Linked DNA regions of Daphnia pulex. The protein of the gene in region 2 interacts with the protein of the main gene of each other region in a pairwise test. Links are inferred from orthologs where the notes say so. Each region holds a gene or a part of one and is shown on either strand. Other genes may lie near its edges. The genes, in order: peroxisomal biogenesis factor 19-like and peroxisome biogenesis factor 10-like.

The links.
Region 1: the proteins of peroxisome biogenesis factor 10-like (region 2) and peroxisomal biogenesis factor 19-like interact in a two-hybrid assay, tested with the Homo sapiens proteins (4 studies listed by BioGRID and IntAct, with this or other methods). The link is inferred for Daphnia pulex from reciprocal best matches to the Homo sapiens genes PEX10 and PEX19.

What each region holds. Positions count from the first base shown.
Region 1 is NC_060022.1:6,085,042-6,088,622, reverse strand, and holds peroxisomal biogenesis factor 19-like, read right to left. Parts: upstream 2,081-3,581; 5' UTR 1,924-2,080; coding exon 1,821-1,923; intron 1,756-1,820; coding exon 1,430-1,755; intron 1,359-1,429; coding exon 1,167-1,358; intron 1,100-1,166; coding exon 896-1,099; intron 836-895; coding exon 737-835; 3' UTR 622-736; downstream 1-621. Other genes in the region: DNA-binding protein Ets97D-like, read left to right, coding at 1-138, 216-580. UniProt on the Homo sapiens protein: Necessary for early peroxisomal biogenesis. Acts both as a cytosolic chaperone and as an import receptor for peroxisomal membrane proteins (PMPs).
Region 2 is NC_060026.1:15,822,035-15,826,057, reverse strand, and holds peroxisome biogenesis factor 10-like, read right to left. Parts: upstream 2,428-4,023; 5' UTR 1,939-2,427; coding exon 1,824-1,938; intron 1,748-1,823; coding exon 1,590-1,747; intron 1,535-1,589; coding exon 1,283-1,534; intron 1,225-1,282; coding exon 1,069-1,224; intron 998-1,068; coding exon 776-997; 3' UTR 695-775; downstream 1-694.

The DNA.
Region 1 (3,581 bases), on a different chromosome or scaffold from region 2:
CAACTCCATTGACAGTTAAATCTGATACTTCCAGAATGCCAAGACCGCCTGTTAAAGTTGTTACTCCAGCAAAAAGGATTCCCCTTGAAACATTTTCCTCGCGTTCGTTCTCGATTGCTAACTCAGGAAACCGAACAGGTATTTAAAAAATATAGTATATGTATGCTTTAATGATCAAGGTGATTTTAACTTGAATTAACTTGTCCGTTTCACAGGCAGCAATGGCCAGGTACAACTCTGGCAGTTTCTCCTTGAGCTGTTGACCGATGTGAATTTCCGGGATGCTATTTCTTGGCTTGGGACAGGAGGAGAATTCAAATTAAATAACCCCGAAATGGTGGCTCAACTATGGGGAGAAAGGAAAAACAAACCACACATGAACTATGAGAAACTCAGTCGAGCCCTGAGGTATTATTATGATGGCGATATGATTTGCAAAGTAAGCGGTAAACGATTTGTGTATAAATTTGTTTGTGACCTCAAACAACTGTTGGGCTATTCGGCTGATGAACTTAATAAGCTTGTAACAGAGTGTGAGCAACGATCCAAAATGAGACGGGCAAGTTCGTCATACGTGTAAATACAAAACGTATTTGTTTAAATCATTGAGAATTGACGCCATTAATGATAAAATTAAGTTGTAATGCCGTTCAAACAATTTTTTTTAACGACCTTCTAATACCTTTTATAGCCCAATTTCAATAACAAAAACATGTTTTATAACATACTATATTAATTACATAACAACACAATTTTCGGCACCAGGTCCCATCGATTGAGCAAAATCCGCGCCACCGAAGGGATTCGGTAGCAGTTCAGCTTCACCAGCCAGTTCCTTGAAATTAAGATTTTTCATTAAATGAAAATCAATCAAATTATTCGTAGTCGCACTCACTTTAGGGGGATGGCCACATTCTTGCATTTGTTGCATCAAAGTTAATATCTTTTCAAAGCGACTATTTTTCGTCGCTGCATCATCAGTGTCGTTATCATTTTCGAATTCGGTACACACTTGCTGCATAACGGCGTATTGGCGGTTGTATTTTTCAAATTGCGCAGGTTCTAATTTCGGCCGATTGTCTGCGAGCCAATCTGGGTACTAAGGAGATAACAATAAGTTATGAGAGACAAGATTGACTATCATCAGTTCTCAAGTGAATGCTTACCTTGCTAACAATCTCTTTGATAGATGGATAAAGCAACTCCTTTGATAACAAACTTTGAAGCATTCCTTGCATTGCAGGTAAAATGTCACCCAAACCTCCCATATCTCCACCAGCACCATCTCCAAATCCCCCATCTGGTCCAAATGCCATTTTTTCAAGCATTTTGGCTAATGTAGCTTCATCAGCTTCAGTCTATGGAAAAAATAAGGACATGTTAAAGTAAAAATAAAAAAGTTTGGTTTATCCTACCCACAAAAATTTACCTGAAGTGATTCTGTTCCTTCTGCTAAATAGCGTAGAGTATCAGCAAAGGATGCTCCCTGGTCTGGTTGTCTTTCAAATACTTTAGCTGCAGCTTCTTGTGATACCTTTAACAAACTTTCAGCAAATCCAGAATCACCACTGGCCCCTGGTGCTGTTTCTGCCATCATCAAACGAATATTTTTCTCAAATTCCAAACTCGCTTCTTGAATAAACTCCTCAGACCACACAACATCTGATACTTGATCTGTAGGTGCTGCTGCTTCGGCTTTAACATTGTCTTTTGTTTTGGGCACTTGCAGTGGCTTGTCAAATCCTTCCAGGGCATCTGTTACATTTAATGAATGTTTTATTCCTTTGTTGGCAAATAACTAGTTAGTTTAAACTACATACCGTCAAGTAAAGCGTCTAGTTCTTCGTCATCTCCTTTAGATTCTTCTTTAATATCTGCCGTATCTTGTACAGACTTTGGATCATTAGAACCGGTTCCACTCATACTGAAATGTATCTATTTACAGCAAAGTACAGAATTGTATAAGTAGAAATAGATTTCGATATCAATAATATCGACACAGGCTTCAAAACTTGCTCATCCGGAAATTTCGACAAGGAAAAGAGTGCAAGACCAGACAAGACGACGAAATACTACCTCATAAATAAAACGCGATGTTGCCGAAATCATTCGGTATTTAGTGATGGTTCGTGCGTGCGTGAATGAAGCAGATGCGCTTCATCATGATTCATGAATGCTTGTTTATTAAAATTATATTTGGCGTGAAAAATGAATTAAAACAAATCACTTTTTTTTTAGGTTTTGAATTTTGCGTCTTTATTGGGAGAGTAAAATGTATTTTTTGTTCTGAATAACAGAAGCGACTGCTCATTCATAAATATTTTCTAAACCTAACAGTAATATTTCGTAACATAGTCAAAATCAAAGATTTCCATTAGGGCGGTTGCTTTAAGCTTAGTCTTGCTTTAACAAATGAAAACAGAACATCGAACATGTCGTTATATCCCGTTGTTACCAGTCGAGCAGTCGTTACCATCCCGCCTTTGCTTCAAAGTTCAAATCAATTTCACTTACCTGCCAGACCCAAATTAAAAGCTATGAAAGAAGGAATTTTGAAAAAGTACGTTCAGTTGGTAAAGGTAATATGTCTTCCGACAAAATGACAGTAAAAATTGTGATATTCTATAACGTACACGGTGGTCTGCCTTGCCGCAATAGTGCTTGTCCATTGCTGATACCAAAATCAATACATGAGTAGTAGTTTTCACTGATCCTCCAATATCTTGCTTCGTTTTATTCTTCCTCTTCTCTTCTTCACGAATTGCTGTACTACCGATTCTGGAATGACACATCGCGAATGTTCACCAAATCAAGAAAATTCACCATCTAGCCTACCTGGTATGATTTCGAGATGGTGGAGTCATTTTTTTTTTTAAGGCAAACTTCAATTGCTTAAAAAAATAATTGACACATAATGTGTTGAATGCTGATAAAATGGAAATTCAAGTATGAATCAAAATGAGTGAACTTAAAAAAATGCAAGTAATGCATCTGTATTTCATTCATTAAAAATGTAAACATTCAACATGACCTGCACCAACCCAATTTCACCCCTGATACTAGTTAATAAAAAAATTTTGGTTTTAAACACGCGATCCATATTCTAACAGAGTTTTAAATCATTTTAGATAACAGCTTATAGCTGTAACGGATTAATAACCTTTATGTGATAAAGTTACAGGACGAACATTTAGGCTGCAATTTCTATTGGTAATGAATTCGGCTGAAGTTCGTTTGGGGGACATTTTTACTCTTTAAAAAAGACACAGTTTAACCACTGTTAAACGAGAACAAATGATCATAGCCAAATGATTCGTAGCACCTCCTAAGTACTAATAAGACCGGGGAAAACTGTATGGGTGCTCAGTATTTGCATGTAAGGAGAAACGATACACAAAAAGGAGAAAAGCACTGGAAGAGCACTTCAAGTTTAACGTGGAATTAAAAATAAAAATTTTCGATATGGGGAACAAATTGCTTTGATTGCTTTCGAGTTTCGGATCACCCTCTTAAAGCTCCATTCCTAAAGGGCATAACATTGAATGAAAGACTCTTTACTGTTCTCTAAACCATAATAATGA
Region 2 (4,023 bases):
GAGATGATTCGTTTGGCCACGAAGATGAGACACTGAACTTAACACTTGTAGGGTTCTCAGTTACATACTCAAAAAACACTGAAAGAGAAAGAAGCTCTAAACTTTCTCCCCATCTGATGTCGAACTTCCTCCCGTCGTTTCGGAACGATATTAAACAGGAGACGCCCTAATGTTCAGTCGTTTGAAACGTTCTCATCCGTTTTTTCTTTCTTTTTCCAGGTCAAAATGCTACCGCGTACTGGAATGGTAAAAGGAGACACGAGTCATTATGATGTTTTCTTTTCGACACGATCTCCGTTCCGGCGAAAGTAGATTTATTTCGTTGATTTGCTGCCCATCTTGTTTTAAAAATTTCCCATGAAGTAATGTTTTAGTTGGCCGCTAGGTGTCGAGTGCTGTCAGTTGAAGCCATATTTTAATACAAAATAGTTGTGGACTAGTGCGTACTCGATACCCTGGGTCTGACTGTGTCCTCTTTAGGGAAAAAGCACGTGACAATTCAAGAAAATGCTTCCGACGAACGAGACAGCCTGTTTGTCTAGATGACGATATTACAATCTTCTGATAAATTCAGGTTAGACTTTTTGACTAATCTCTTCTTTGTGTCTCGTAAAATGTCTCCTCTGGTTAAGATCTAAGACGCGATTCCCTTTTAAATCGAACGAATGTGGATTTTTGAATGAAGAAGGCTGGCTCGTCAAAAACATAGCGAGTTTTATTTCAACACATTGTGCAAAACATTTTCACAAAATAGCTGTTTGGACTCTGACATAGATTATTCATAATTCAATAATGGCACAATTCTTGAAGGTTGCACACTTTCTCTGCAAAGAGGACACTCATGCTTGGTTTGCAACCATTGCAAAATACATTGCCAGCAGAACAGGTGGCCACATGGGGTGCAGGCTGTGTTTTTTCTTGAATCCCAACAAAGGGAACATTTCGCTGTTGTCGAGGGTGATGTGCCAGCACATTTTTCACTAGAACTGTCCACCACCTGTGTTTAGCATTTGCTTAGCTTTAATGAGGGTTTCAAAATGGAAAGGAATTTTGTTGAGAAATACTTACCGAAATTGCACTGGAATTGTTTTTGGAACTGCCATTTTTCCATTTGGTAATGGAATTTGTAAGTAAAAGTAGAACAAGGTGTGTAAGGGCCATTTGCCCAATGAACTTGAATGTTGGGTTGTAATTTTCTGTTTTCAAGTAGTCTGTAGCGAATACCTAGAAATAGAATATTGGATTAATTTGCTTGGGTATTTGTAATCTAATGCAGTCTTACGTAATGGATCTTGGCCATTCTCTGAGATAGCCTGTAGTATTTCCCGTACATGTAGAATAAAACCAAGTTGAGTCGCCCCACCCAAAAACTGCTGCTGTGAATCAGCTCTGTCAGCAATAAAATGTAATCTCTGGCTTTGGGTGTTAAATCAGGGATATTTTCTGGATTTCGTAGCCAGGTGTCCAGCTTTTTCATGACTTGACTGAACAGCCGTGGTCCTAATACTTGCAGAGTGATGGCAGTAAGCCTTGTCTAAATAGAAACTTTGTTAATGTCAGGTACTAGTGCTTGTTATATTGTTATTTACCAATTTAGAGGGAAGAGCCCTTAATGTTGGATTGACTTGTATGAGCCCTACATATTCCTCTCCGAGGGTTTGATTGTCCAACAAGGTGGTCAAGGTGTAATATAGGAAGACACAGGTGAGGTCCGATAGCCACTGGACCTTCAGCCATGTCTGATTTCCTGTGTGTACAGCAAGATGGTAAACAATGAGAAGGTCACTGCTAGAAAAAATTTCCACTTAAAAACAGTTGTTTACCGAAAAGACGTTGTACAATGTCAGCCAGTTCGTTCTTGATGGTGTTGATATAAGACTCATCCTTTTGGGAGGCTCGAAGGATCTCGGGTGGATTGGCTTCCACGAACACGGCCATATTTTTTAAGAAAAAAAGAAAACAATCGAAAAAACTTGTCTATACTCTCACGGAGAGCCTGTTGTAAAGGACGGACAAATGGTGGCGACCATCCACTGGTTTAGACGTCCGGGGAATGAATAAATATGGTGATCATTCCAACGAAAGCGAGACTCGAGAGAGTGACCTTTGAAGCTCCCGTGTGTAGATGATGACACAATCGGGTCAAGGCCATTTGTTATTTTCTATGGTAAACCACAACGGCGCAGACCCGGCCCGACGTCGTACGTCGATGTGTTACAAGAAGTGAAAATGTAGGTCTTTCCCATAGACACACACAAACGTTTTTATTGCTTCTGTGTACTCTTATTTTTTAAATAGCAACTTTCTTTCGACTTGGTTTTTGGCCTCGAGCAAGATTATTACGGTTATCAGTATATTATTTTACACGACTTTCTTTTGATTAGCTTCTTTATTTAATTGCGTTGACGGCCACTATGGCGTAAAACTATTTTGACGTGTAGCCGTCGAGAAGTGGCAATGTTGAGCGTTAGATGGCGTGCGAGTAGCTGTCGACTGCTTGTAAAATACACAGAGAGGGTGGTGTTGGGGGGGAAGGAAGAAGCCCCTGTGGACAACTAGGAGGAAATAGACTAGAGGAGCTCAACTACTACTACAGAGGCGTTAGCAATGGCTGCCCTCAGTGTGTAAAGTGCCCTCGCGCGTTGCAGAAACAGGCCGGAGGAGTTCATCTCCGGTAGTTTTTTTAGTTGTTCAGTGTAGGAATCAGTCAGTCGAGCTGTAATCATTAAAAAAATTAATCTTTAAACAAGCAGAGAGTTTTGATCAGCAGTTTTAATTCATTAATATATATTATCCATCCCCTCTACTTTTGAGATTTTTTCAAAAAAATCATTCACCCCAAGCGAAAAAGTGTGTGTGTTTGAGTGAGTGTGTGCGAGTGTGTATACAAGTCAATCCCCCCACACATATATTTCTCTCTTCTTCTTCTCCAAAAACTCGCCGTCGTCGTCGTTCTTCTTCTTTTTACACACACACACACACACCAAATAACAAAACAATCCCCTTCGACTTCCGTTTTGCTTTGGCTGCTCTTCTTGTCCTAATCGAAACTGTAGAAGAAGTGAACTCGTCTCTCCACTTCTTCATTCAATTTCCTTCTCTTGATTTTTCTTCCTCCCGGCGTCTCCCCTATCTCTCTCTCTCGGCTGTAATCCAAGACACACACACACAGACAGACAAGTCAGAAGAGAGAAAATTTTAATAATTCCGACTGGAACATTTTCAACCTTCCAAAAAACTCCCGAGGTATTGATTCTCTTTTTTGGAAAAAATATTTTAGACTCGCCTAAAAAATATGTAGGGTTCTAGACCCACTATTTTTGTGTAATCTGATTATAAATGTATCATTGTGGAATGTCGATCGATCGACTTTTTATCTTTTTTTCCCCCCTTAAAAAACTTAACTTTTTTTATTTTCTGTTTGTTGCAGTCATCCGAGCCCTTGTGTAACTTTTTGGGAACCCGGGCACAGGTGCCGTGGATAGGAATCTAATCAATTAATCAACCAACGTGGCGAGGCTATTTCGGCTGGAATCAAATAGAAAAAAGTTTTATTTTTGACAAGTGAGTTTTTGTTTCATTAACTAAGCGATTGACAAAATTTTTAATTTTCTTATTCTCTTGATTTTTAAGGTTTCCAAAGTTTGTGAAAGAAGATGGACAACATGGATGCTCACTCGCAGTCGCAGCATGGCGACAACACCACCGAAGTACCCAACGATCCTGGGTAAGAGAACAAAACATTTCTTTTTGATTCATTTCCCTGATATTATAGCGCCTGTATAATAATTATTATCATCACCACCACCACCGTCGTGGTGGTATCCATCACTCGCGGGCTTCAAGGCTGAAAAACTTGCGTCTTTTTTTTCTTCTTATACCAGACTGACCACTTTTTCCATAGAGCCTCAGGTTCTTTTTTAAGGTTCTCTTTAGGGGAGAAGAAATAGGAAAAAAATCACATTCTAGGAAAAAGAAGAAAAAAAGATTATCAGACTCGAGAAAGAAGGGGGTTTTATTTTT